Neodiprion lecontei: one gene and its partner. The protein of the gene in region 1 interacts with the protein of each later gene in a biochemical or structural test. Links are inferred from orthologs where the notes say so. Each region holds a gene or a part of one and is shown on either strand. Other genes may lie near its edges.

Region 1 (4,818 bases):
CCAAATATTTTTGATACTTTGTCATTGCCTGCGACTGCTTTGGTGGTTTGCCTGCAGATATTTGTTAATGTATTGCGGAAAAAGTCACAGTGAGAAATGGATTTGAAGTTATCATAAATTTTGTAATTCAAATTTTATCTTTGTATTGAAATGTTATGTTTGTGTTTATACTTGCAATGTTTCTATCATTGCAAGTAGGGCAAAAAAAACCATTGTGTTGCAAGGCACAGAATTTTGTAGTTTACACAATTCTGGTTGTGCTTTGTGAGTTCTCAAGAATTCCCAATTCGACGGAAAAAACTGTTAGAAATCAATTTTCAGCCAATAAGTTTTTCAGCTATAAAAATTGCAAACTCTTTTGATGTTTGACAAAATCTTGACCAATTTTGACCAACGTTAGAATTAATTGTTTCATATGCTATATCGATGTCACTTTGCAAAGGAAAACAGTTGCAAATGTTCTGGAGTCACTGCAATTAATGATTCAAAAGATACTGGGTTTGCGTGAGACTTTCTTTCAAAAGGTTACGACAATTTGAATCCCGTTTCAGTTCTATTTTCTATTGTAAATAATGTAGTTCAATTCAAAGTAAAAACGCATTATCTTTGTACATGTGTAGTTGGTATGGTCCAAATGTGAATCGCATTTGCGGTGTTCTCAGGACTATGATAGTGAAAAACTTTCAAATCGAATTGACTATTTATTTGGCGACCACCTTCGATTGACGGAATATTATAATAAGGTGGTTTTATTTATGATATAACAGACCCAAAAGAATCATACAACATTAGGGGTTTTCTCTCGAGCGTGTATTTTATGGAAGAAATGGAATAAAATTTTTGACCGATCATTCAATTGAACAGTAGAGTTAATGATTCTCGAACTTGTCACAAGTAATGACAGACGTATGCAAGATTCACGATATCCTCGAGTTTCATACACAGCTGTGGCATAATTTCATATGCAACTTACATTTTTAATTTCATTCTAGTAAAATTTTTAATCATAAAAGCGATGGACATGGTAAATAAATCATTATAGCATCTAACAAGATGCTTGCTCTCAGGTGCTAAGAATTGATGATATAATTTGTCAGTTTAAACCTGTTCAACAACCTGACAAAACAACACCAGCATGCATGTATGTGCACAAATGGTATAGAAAAAATTTAAATAAAGTAATTACTATATGAGATCAAAGTAAAGAGGCTAATAGGACTTTCAAATGGTTATAGACATAACGCTATGGATATTCGCATAGAAAGTGACTGAACACGAGTCACGCTGAGGTTACACTAGAGTATGGTAAGATAAGGATATGCTTTGCCTCTGTTATACAACCGCTCGATTTTATATGAATTGTTATATTCCGTTGCTATCTGAAACTCGAGCACACACATGAGGTTTGAATCATGCTTCTAGTTCCTATCGCCCTCAGAAGGTTAGAATACGAGTTTCACTTGACTTTGTCAAAGTTTAGGATGTTTTAGTAGGAATGGTATATGACTCCTGTGTGACTTCAGCATGACTTGCATGCTGTTATTTTGTCATATCAATATCAAAAGCTAAATATAAATAGAACTTGTTAAACTTCGATTAGATTTACACTAAGGACACATCATGAATTAAATATTAAATGATGAGTGTTATACTTGTTGCCGAGGTAAAATGTGTAAAACTTAATCATGAATTTTCGTGTACACAAAATCCATAATGAAAATATATATTCTCTCCTGCGATGCTTTGGTCTCCAGACGAAGAGTACTACAACTCCTAACGGAAGTAATGACAATGATGATACTGACGATGATGATGACGCTAATAAGAATAAGAATGGTAGATTTTATAAACAATGATGTAGAGTTACTAATGCTTACCAAACAAATAAGGCTAGCTAGTATTGTAATTCCTTAATGAAATCCTTCGCTGACATGGCAGTATTCAACACCAATGGTTTATTTTTTAGCACTGTTAAGAGGCACAATGGTAAGAAATTCTTGTGAACCAGTTTGTTGCCGATCACTGTACGTGGAATTTGGTACTTGAATTCACTTCACTGAACCAACTGTCAATGCTGTGCACTCTTGAAAATTTTAAAGGCTTACGATAAGATTCATTTGGAGGGTTGTAATTATTTGCAAAACTGGCTGCACCAAAGAAAATCAATCTCCAATAGGAGTGGCAAGTTACAGAGCGCAAGTTGTGCACACCATTGTAGCTATATATATTATTTAATTTTCTAGTTGAATACAGTTTCAAAACGTTGAGGGGATATTATTTCACTGACGAGTACGAAGTGCTAATATTTTATTACTGAAATGAAACAATTTCAATAAATTGTATATAAAGACATACATACACCACACTACCGAATTAGAGACTCGGTAATTTGCGAATTGATCGCCGATAACGACTAATTGTTTATGCCGCTTGTTAGTAGCCGTGCGTAGATTCTTTTGTAAAATATATAAAACCTCTTACTCAAGAATATCTTGATATAAATTCCTTTAAACCGAGAGTGATGCCAGCTGAGGATCGAGAGCATATTCCGTAGTCACATTATAATAGGGTTTATAGACCGGACCAGAAATAATTATAGAACGTTAGAGCAAACACTTTACAACGAAGAAAATAATTGAAACTGAGAAAACTTCGTCGAAATCATAAAAGCGATAACAAAGAAAGATACAGCCGTAAATTACTAAAGTGGCTGGCAGCCATTTTGAAGTGCCACATTCCTTCACTGACTTGACAATCTTTTTCACAATTTCTAGTACGTATATACATACACAAATTGTATATCAGCATTCCGTATTACAAATATTCATTGCAGTCGAAGTTGCAGTTATTTTTAACTATTTATAAGAACGATTCTTCGAAGGGCTTAACTCTATATCCAACAAATATGAAAGATTCATTGAACTGGCATCAATATCGGCGCTACTTTCGAATCATTTAAGGCTGGTAAGCTATTCCATTTGAATTCAACGGTTTAACTGGGTATCGGTTGTAAATCATAGATTTACGCATGCTCTGGATGAAATTAAATAGTATGCATTGGCAGATGCATCAAATTTACGAAAATAGGTATCCAATTCATGAAAGATAGAGACCGTGAGGGGCCTGGAGGAGCCGAACTCCACAGGCGTTGACTTTACAATACGCTCATGTCAGAGATTACCAACCTCGGATTACATCGCGTGACAGCTTTTTGGTGCACCAAGTTCGGGTCTGCTCGGGGGTAACTTCAGGTTTCTGCATTATCGTCGCTCTTACCATGGTTACTCGGTGAACCACACACAACTGGGTTTGTTCGTGCTAGCAACACTTTCTACACGTTTTACACCTTCGATCACTATATATTGTTAAAGTAGGAAAGTATGTGAAGGTGCAGGAAGCATTGGTAAAAAAAAAAAACTTCCTACCATTACCGATTTAATCATCATTGTAATCCTCATGAGTGAGTCGATAAGTGTGGGCACTGCTGTTACCGCCGGACTCTTGCTTGATTTCAAAAGATTACCGTCTGTGTTTACCAATCATTTACCAATGTGAGACTACGTATGTATGTATGTACATGCAATGCCTATGCATACTGCATTGCTCTCCGGACAGAGTGAAGCCCATGTGGACCCCTTGATCTGGGCCTCGAGCAGGCTAAGATAATATATACATTATTTTAGTTGGTGGAAGGTACCCGCATCTAAGATAATATATATTATCTTACCCGTATCGCCCTATTGCAGCGCCTCTAGCGGCTCAGAGGAAAAATATAACGCGTACGTGTAGCGTTAGTGAAGATGTGATTGCGTTAGTATTGTCGGTGTGATGACGCGTTGCTATAATCTTTGGGTAAACGTTGGATAACAAACAAACATTTTTCCAAAGATGCCAATTTATTGTGACGTCAAATTATGTTACAATTACAAATATATCAAAAATCAAAGCATAAATAATGGAGGACGAGTGACGTTTTTCGCGTTACCAAAAAAAGAGCAACTGTATGTAAGTATGAATATATAACCTCGCTTTCACGGGAATGTTGTGGGTCCCCACGTATCTTCATATATTATGAAAACAAATGTACATCATGATTTTTCATAATACAGGCGCAAAAAATGGCATGAGTTCATCCGAGCCAAGAATCCGAACCGGCGAGATTTTCGTGTATGTAACAAACACTTTGAGCCAAAATATATCTGGAAAAAATATCCACGATGTTTACTAACGTGTGATGCAGTTCCAACATTGAATGGACCTGTTGACGGTAATCATCGCCAAGAACAGCTGCATACAGAGTCTAAGGATCTGCAAATTTCGGCTCAAACAAGCTGTGTTGCGATAGCAGGTAAAACAAATCAGTATCATTGGCTCTTGCAAACAAATGCAAGCAATTGTTTTTGCATTTACATTAAAATTTTACTTATATTGAAAAATTTAATTCCAGACCAACCACACGTCAGCGGAATTCCATCGGATGATGTCATACCCTCAAAAGATGGACCTTCGACTACGCTGTATAAGGAAAACAAGAACCCAGATATTCGTGGTAAGATTGTAAAAAAGTATTGATAGGAAAATCAGCGAATGAATTTGTACATACATTTAATTTAATTAACTGGAAGTTCACTCAAAATTCAAGAGCAGGAATTTTCTGCAAATTGTACTGTTAGTTAAAATTGACATTTATTTTCTATTTATATTTACTATTTACAATCTATACACAATTGATATTCAAAATAAGCGTTCACTATACATATAAATAACCAAATCTGAACTTCCGAGTTATACAATCACTAAGTTTTGTACAAAACTTGA
Region 2 (8,247 bases), on another chromosome or scaffold:
AACCTCTCTTAATTCTATTTCAGTCTTGCTTAATCGTAATCACGCCATTATGTAATTAAAATTTTTGCTTGAAAAAAATACATTGTGACCACTAAATAAAAGCTGTGCAGTAAAATTTTTTAGCATTGTGAAAATTAAATACCTATATAAGCAGTGTTTTAAACCAAATCATAAAAATTTCAGATTGCAACAAATGTCTTGATATTTCCTGGTTTCTGTATAAGTGAGAAATGCAAACAAGTAGGATACCTTCGATGTACCGATGTCCCATGTGATCTCTATCTCGTTTACATGCCTTCTCGATATCCTCTTCCGTGTCCATTTCAATGTATGCTTCACCGCTGGGTCTTCCTTCTCTCGACATAGTCATATGAATGCCGGCTTTGCCATGCGAAATGCTACAGTCGTTGAAGAATTTCAATATCTCATCGACGGTTGTGGACCAAGGTAGTCCTCGTAGTTTTACGACGTACCCTTCCTCGTCGTGATCGCCACTTCCGTTCGACATGCTGGTCTGAGTGGAAAGGGAATGAAAATTTGAAACACGAATATGAAAAATTGTAGGGTAAAGAGGTTGCCTTAGTCGATTTCGACGTTATCGGAAATACGTCCAAATATCAAAGTCCACGTATCGCAAGTGCAAAAAAGGGTTTAACAGCCCCATTCTATACGTAATTCTGAACAAAAACACCCCGAAACATTTTCATTTGACACAGCAGTAAAGAAACGGCTTGAATTCTATGAATTTACTGTTACGATTTCATAGAAACCGTACCATTTCTTTACTTCTGCCTCAGGTCAAAATTTATTGCGAGTTTTTATTCAAAACTGTCTATAGAATGAGGCTTTTAAACCTCTTTTTGCATTTCAGGTACATGAACTTCGATATTTGGAAATATATACGTCAACAACGGAATCGATCAGGGTACCTTGATGAAAAATCTGTGATATGATTACTCATCAAATTGAAAGTTTAACTCACATCTTACGATGCTTGTGAATTTTTTTCATCAAACTCATGTCACTGTTACCAGCTGATTAAATAAAAGTTACCAGCTCACTGAATAAAATTTCAGAAATAAGTGTTTCAAGCTAATCATGTGATAAAATTTTTTATTTTGAAAATCGGTATTGAAACATAGAAATAGGCTAAACTTGGTGGCCAATTAGACTAATTTTACAACGATATGAAAATACACAGTCAATTGTTATTGTCTTGGTTGGTCAATTTTCAACTGCTAAATGACATGAAATGGAAATAATGGTCAAAATTGATTCAGCGTAGTGGCCAGGCGATTTAGTGTATTGGGCGGTATAAAGTTCTTACTTTGCATAAACGCAATTTACGAGTTTAAATTGAAGTGTTGATTCTCGCGTCGAAGTGACGCTTGAGAAAATATGAAGGTAAAGATACGTACAAATGCATGCACGACGAATGAGCCGTAAGGCGATTATATTATACTCACGGTTTACGGTGATCGGATGGTATCAATGTGTGAGAAAGGAAAATGCGGCGATGGTACGTAAAATATGTAGATTTATTCTTGTCCCTCGACGATATTTATTCCGCACAAGAATAGTCCGGCAAACTTGCGCCTACTTCTTCTGTGCAAACGCATCCAACTCCGATTAATTTGCAAATGGCGATGTTCGTTCGTTGCGCATAGACAATTAAGAATATATATAGATTGTTCGCTGCTCTACGACTCCAAGTCACAACTCCAGTAGTGACATCTTAGAGAAATGGGATAATTTTCGAGACGCATGACGATAACGGACTACTACTCTGCCGTATTTTAGCATCACGGAAGCAGTGGATGTTTGTAATTTGTCCGGTTGCGACTACTGATTTTCGTAAATATGTGTTGTACCATTCACTGCTTTGTCATCCTTATGTTGTAGTTATGCAGCAATTTTTTTTTCAATTTTGCTTGGAAAGTTCAATGTTTGAATCCTGTTGAATGTGGCCCTTCAATCTTCCGGCTAACTCGTTTTCAGCCTAAAAACAAAATGCAACTTCGATTCTATATGAATTTTGCAACAAATTAATCGACACAGGGTGCGTTCCTGAATCCCTCTATCGCAACGACACTCGTGGTCACTAGGCGAAACGGCCGGTGCTTCAATAAGAGGACATACCCCCATCACCAGAGTTTCCAGACCTGAATGTAAGACCGTGGTTTCATGTTCTGTTTAGTGTTGTCTGGTTCGCTCTGACTCCGTCTGGCGCAGCGAGGGCGGTCCTGTCGACTGCTCGAGGAACGAATCATCGCGGATTGCGGAGTCAAGGAGGGCCACTGAGGAGGGCAGCAGTTAACTCAACCGAACCGAAAACATCTGTGGACACACCAAAAAACTGAGGATATTCCCATGTTTATCGCTGTCAAAGTTCCATGCGCATTTCGATCAGCGTGATACCGTACTTTTTCACATAAATATCAAGGGAATAGTTGGAATTTCTCACATAGTCAAACAAATAGCTGATCAAAATATCTCCAACGATGAGCTTCCTGTTGTGAGTACTACTACACTTCGGAACGGCCTTTCTTTTTCCTCTATTTTTATTTTTATTTTTCCGTATTTCAGTTAGTCACTTTTTTACAACACCCGAGTACACTCACGCTGACGAGAGTAACACAAAAAATCGAGTTGACAATAGGCCTGTTGTTATGTATACTCTTTATCAATTCACCTATAAATATACCTATGCCGTTTCGTCCCCAAATCGATATTTTATCCGTTCTAAAATGCCTCATTGTATCGTATTTGACAGCTCTGTCTCGCTTTCTCTATCTCACTTCCTCTCCCTCTCTGTGCCATTTCTATTTCATATTATTGCCATTTAAAGTTTCTGACCTGCACTTCGAACAGAAAATTTCGAAACTAAGTTCATGACAAAGTGATCTCTGGTTTGCATAGTGTTTTTCATACTTCTTTATACGACCAGTTTGTTAAATAGACTAGATGTTATTTTCAATTAATCAGAAACAATTCTTTGCCTGTTTCTTTTTATTTCATATCATGTATTTTTCAATAACTTAGCGGAAGCCGATCTTCGAAAACTTTCAAGCCAAAGAAGAATATCCCTGAAGGGACGCACCAGTATGATTTAATGAAACATGCAGCGGCGACACTTGGCTCAGGAAATTTACGTCTGGCGGTGATGTTACCCGAGGGTGAAGATCTCAATGAATGGGTTGCCGTTAACAGTGCGTAACTTATCTTCTCTGAAATTCATGAATGAAGGCAATCTGGACTCGAGTCACTTCGCATTTTCATGTGTTTGTCAATCAAACCCACCAATTTGAATTATACTTTGGATTTTTATTTGAAATGATAGATATTATTTGAACGAAGTCATGAGTTGAATTGGAAAATTTCAATGATATCTTATTACCTTGTTATGTTTGGGATGAAATCAGGGCCGAACCATTTGATAAAAACTTTTATATTTCGATTGCAGAATGCCCGTATAGTCAAACTTTGGAGATTTTGTGCCCAATAAAAAACTGCATCGTGTCTATAAAAGACGGGATACATGATTTTTGAATTAATTAACTTAAGTAATCACCGTTGCCAGTTACAATATCAGTTAGGATGCGACAAACCTACAGTTCAGTTATGCATTGGCTATAAATTTGTGTTATCTGCTTTTAATTATGAATCAGACTTGAACAACTTCCTCTATGTATAATCGCAGTGTAAGTATGCGAGTAGTCTGAATCATGGAATACGATTCTACTACAGATGAATATATAGTTGGATTGTGTGTAAATTCACGTATTACATTAAAATTCATGAATTTGTTTGGTATTTCGAAGCCATGCCAATCTGAAGTGGACAACATAAATCTGAATTATTGACAATGAATAACATTCTGGGTTTAAATTTGTATCGGAATATTTTTTTTCAGCTGTCGATTTTTTCAACCAAATAAATATGTTGTATGGAACCATTACGGAGTTTTGTACAGAAGAGAGCTGCCCGATTATGTCAGCTGGTCCGAAGTACGAATATCATTGGGCCGACGGCCACACTGTGAAGAAACCAATCAAGTGCTCTGCGCCCAAATATATTGATTACCTAATGACTTGGGTGCAGGATCAATTGGATGACGAGACTCTGTTTCCATCAAAAATTGGCTAGTATTCTAAGTATTGGCTAGCTATTAATCATCACTAAAGTATATATTGTTATGAGCGTTAGAGTTGCGCATACAGAAATTTTACTTTTAATTTTAAATTTGTGTTAACGGATCAAATTTACTACACTTTTAGGAGTGCCGTTTCCAAAAAATTTTCTCTCAATTGCCAAGACTATATTAAAGCGCTTGTTCAGAGTCTACGCACATATTTATCACCAGCACTTCAGTGAGGTTGTTCAACTGGGAGAAGAGGCACATCTTAACACATCGTTTAAGCATTTTATTTTTTTCGTTCAGGTAAGCAAAACCACGATATAAGTATTAATATCGTGAAGTCGTTCTTACAGTTTAGAATTCAGTGCTTATTATTCAGAGACACGGATCTCTTTTCTGAGGATGCATGTGTATGACTAATTCGGTTTTACACTCAACTTCAACTTCATTGATTATCAGCCATTAATTATACTATCATATTTTTCGCAACCTTGACCGAATTTTTATTTAAAGGCTATATCTCACTAACTATACTTTGCACTTGTAAACCAGTTCTGCATGTAAGTATATTAGCTAGGTACGAATTTTTTTTTAGTAATATCAAGCACTACAAACCTTACCGCATTTTCGGAATAATACATGATATACAAGTGGCCTTTTTTGCAAAATTAATACCTAAATATTAGTGTTATTATCTTGAATATTTCAGAGAAAACGCATTCGTTACATAAACCGAGAAAATTTTGGCTCCAAATTAAAAAAGTGTAATTCGATTTTGGTGTAAAATTGGAAAAATTGTACAGTAAGAGCTTCTTTTTGGAGAGTTTTACAAGTTCTTATATTAATAAAGTCACATACACTTAATAAAGTTGTTTGGCCAACTTTATATTAACAATAATTTCGATATTCTGGCTCCCATTGTATTGTGCAAAATCATTCTATGCATGTAAACTGTATTTAATTCAGCTGAGAAAATTCAGTTTCGACATCATGATTATTGTTTCTAGGAATTTAACCTAATAGACAGACGAGAATTAGCCCCATTACAAGAGCTAATTGAAAAACTGACTGCAAAGGATGCTCGATGAACACCCTCCACTCTGATCATCGTCTGTGAAGCCTCTCCAAAGAATCTCATCAATGCTATCTCTGTTAACTATCTATCATATAATAATTATTTTATATTATTTAAATAATCGTATCGAATCATATTTCAAAGCAAGTCTAATGCCGAGTCAAAAGCCTTCGTACGGCTACTCTTCTTCATTATATTGCAGTTTAAACTGTGATTAAAGCTTTTTCAACAACAGTAATTAGTTTTGTGCACAGTTCGCAAAACATTTTTTTCCATTGATCTAGTGGATGAGCTTAATATCATGTGAAAGCATTTGGTGGAAAACAATATAATTCACTCATAATAATTGAACCCCAAATGATGTGCTTCGAACAGATAATAAGTCAATAGGTAAAATTTCAAGACAAAATTGAAATGTGTGAATACCTATATAAATTATTGTTAAATAGATGAATTATTTTCAACGTTACGCTGCTTAGAATTGTATGAACTTTTTTTTATATTTATTTAATTTCAATTTTTTTTTTTTTGTGCTGTTGAAAGACATCTGTGTAAGTTTCTTTATCATACTATTAGTTGCAAATTTTTCTTCAATTCTTAGTCGTTGAATTCAATTAAATAATGAAAACAGTATAATAAAATTTCCTAGCATGTAATGTTTATTGCTGTGGAAGGTAGGCTGTAGACAAAAAGGTGATGATTTGTACTTCAAAACAATTTTCATAAGTTAAATAATTTTATATTCAACTTATCGATATACGTGGATATAAAAACCGATTTGAACTTCATTGCAAACATGAATCGTCATAGAATTTCAGAATAACGCTTGAGTCAATCTCGTATGTATTAAAAGAATATTATGCGACCCTTTCGTTAGTGCTTTTTTGTCTCAGACGAAGAAAAATTTTAAAAATGCCTTGAAATAGGTGCAAGTAATATTATCCGTGTACGTCTAACAATATTAGATATTTGTTACGTAGTCTATTATCAATTATACGGCGAAAGTATACGGCAGAGAAATAATATTGAATGTGAAACATTGCACCGTGTTGACTATATAAGGGTATTAATGTAATTTATATTAATAGTTTTTATATTAAACACTTATAAAACGATCGATCTATAGAAATACTAATCTTTTTAAGAAAAATACGAAATGAAAAAATTAAGAAATTCCAAAACGATACATGAGAAGAACTATACTCAAAAGTAGAGTACAAGTGGATCAAAGCCAGAATGTTTGCATGACCTTTGTCACGTAGTTAGCATTGTTTACCGTTTTCAATTGGAATGGTATTGTCAATCTGGACAATGTGTAGAATAAATAAAACAAATGATCTTGAGCCAGATGGTGTATGAACATCTAGGAAAAATAATAACAAGTACTGCATACATAAATTGAATCTTGTGGCAACGATAACTTTGTTTCTTACTTTCTTTTAAATTCTATGTACACTGTATGTATTTCATACCGTTTATCTTAGTAAAATATTGAATTTAGAATTTTAAGAAAGATAGTCGTAAAAATAGACGAGATAAAAAGAAAGTATCTATTTAAGTTTTCATCTATTTTAACGATTAATCTTCATTGAAGAGCTTTTAAAGAGAATTGTTATGTTTCAGACATACAATGGGAACCAAACGTTGAAATCGTTGAGTAAGGCGACTCTGACGACGATTTCGTTAACGATCTAATATTTAAACAGCATGTGTATTATTAATAACTAACGTATAATCAACGTCCAGGACTCATTCCGCTTACCCTAATTTTTGCTCTCCCTCTATTGGGAATTTCTGTATATATATGCGACAAGCTAATTAACTGTCTGTATAGAAACCACGAAAAGAAAGAAGAAAATGAAAAAAAAAGTGCATACCGGTCTGTTTATGCTGAATTAATATATTTCGATGTATTCATTTCGATCATTTTTGAGAACTTATATTTTTTAAGAATTTACATAGAATACGTTTTAAGACAAAAAAAAAAAAAACAAAAACAAAAAAAACGAACAAATATTAATTTTTTACTTTTAGCTTATACATAGTAATTAAAAATATATATGCGTTATTCACTAATAACAATAATAATAGTAATAATAACAAGAACATCAATTATAATTGTTATCATTATTATTATTGTTATCATTATTCTTTGTACGGAAGATTTTCGTGTACATATTTATTTTTATGTTTTTGCTTGACAAATAATAATCAATTTATTTAAGAAGTAGTCCGAACTCAATGTCGTACCCACATCTATATACGTATAGATGAAGCAAAACTGCACACTATTCACTGTCTAATCTGATATTAGAATGTAAATGTTTTGATTTTCAGCTGAATATACGAAATACCGCTAATGCTAATTTCATTACGAACATTGAGTAGTATGAATATGGATTGCGTAGTTGCCACTGAAAAAAATTAAATTTAGATTTAAAAAAATTAATAAATAAAGCATAGTTTCATGTATTCATAACTGTAATAGATAGGCACATACATATGTTATTACTCACAATAATTCAGCGCTTTTCTTCTGAATCGACTTCTCATTCAACTGTCTTACTAAACTTATGTAATTATATACATATTCATTTGTGATATTCCGGCACTCCCAAAAATTACAGTGGAAATTTTTTGCCTCGTACGAGAGCATATCAGAATGCAATTTTGTAACGATGATGTAACGATACGGATAAAAAATCAATTGTGCGTTTGGTACTTATATTTTTCTTCGATTATTAATCTGCAGTATAAATAATAAAATCCTGACATGTTTCAGAAGTCTTATTGTTAAAAATATTTAAATCAATATGCAAAAACACATATCCAATAATATATACGTAGGTACAACATTCGTTTTTTTTTTTTATTAATAATATTACTGCATACATTTTACCAGCAGTAAATTTCCCGTACCATCAAGTAAAACAAATTTTTGTTAAAATTATGTCGAACCTGATTTTTTTAAATAGACGAACAGGATGGTGAAACGTTTTTATCTTTGGTACATGAATCTGTTACAGTGATTATA

What was found.
Region 2: of the proteins of serine/threonine-protein kinase Warts (region 1) and MOB kinase activator 1B, one has a biochemical effect on the other in vitro, tested with the Drosophila melanogaster proteins (2 studies listed by BioGRID). The link is inferred for Neodiprion lecontei from reciprocal best matches to the Drosophila melanogaster genes wts and mats.

Annotation. Positions count from the first base shown.
Region 1 is NC_060260.1:180,978-185,795, reverse strand, and holds the start of serine/threonine-protein kinase Warts, read right to left. Parts: upstream 3,152-4,818; 5' UTR 2,482-3,151; intron 2,314-2,481; 5' UTR 1,878-2,313; intron 1-1,877. Other genes in the region: uncharacterized protein LOC107221828, read left to right, coding at 4,004-4,005, 4,110-4,348, 4,448-4,549. UniProt on the Drosophila melanogaster protein: Negative regulator of Yorkie (Yki) in the Hippo/SWH (Sav/Wts/Hpo) signaling pathway that plays a pivotal role in organ size control and tumor suppression by restricting proliferation and promoting apoptosis.
Region 2 is NC_060266.1:18,783,722-18,791,968, forward strand, and holds the start of MOB kinase activator 1B, read left to right. Parts: upstream 1-2,207; 5' UTR 2,208-2,501; coding exon 2,502-2,515; intron 2,516-3,042; coding exon 3,043-3,209; intron 3,210-3,913; coding exon 3,914-4,141; intron 4,142-4,277; coding exon 4,278-4,441; intron 4,442-5,145; coding exon 5,146-5,226; 3' UTR 5,227-8,247. Other genes in the region: heterogeneous nuclear ribonucleoprotein H, read right to left, coding at 250-508. UniProt on the Drosophila melanogaster protein: Coactivator of Warts (Wts) kinase in the Hippo/SWH (Sav/Wts/Hpo)signaling pathway, a signaling pathway that plays a pivotal role in organ size control and tumor suppression by restricting proliferation and promoting apoptosis.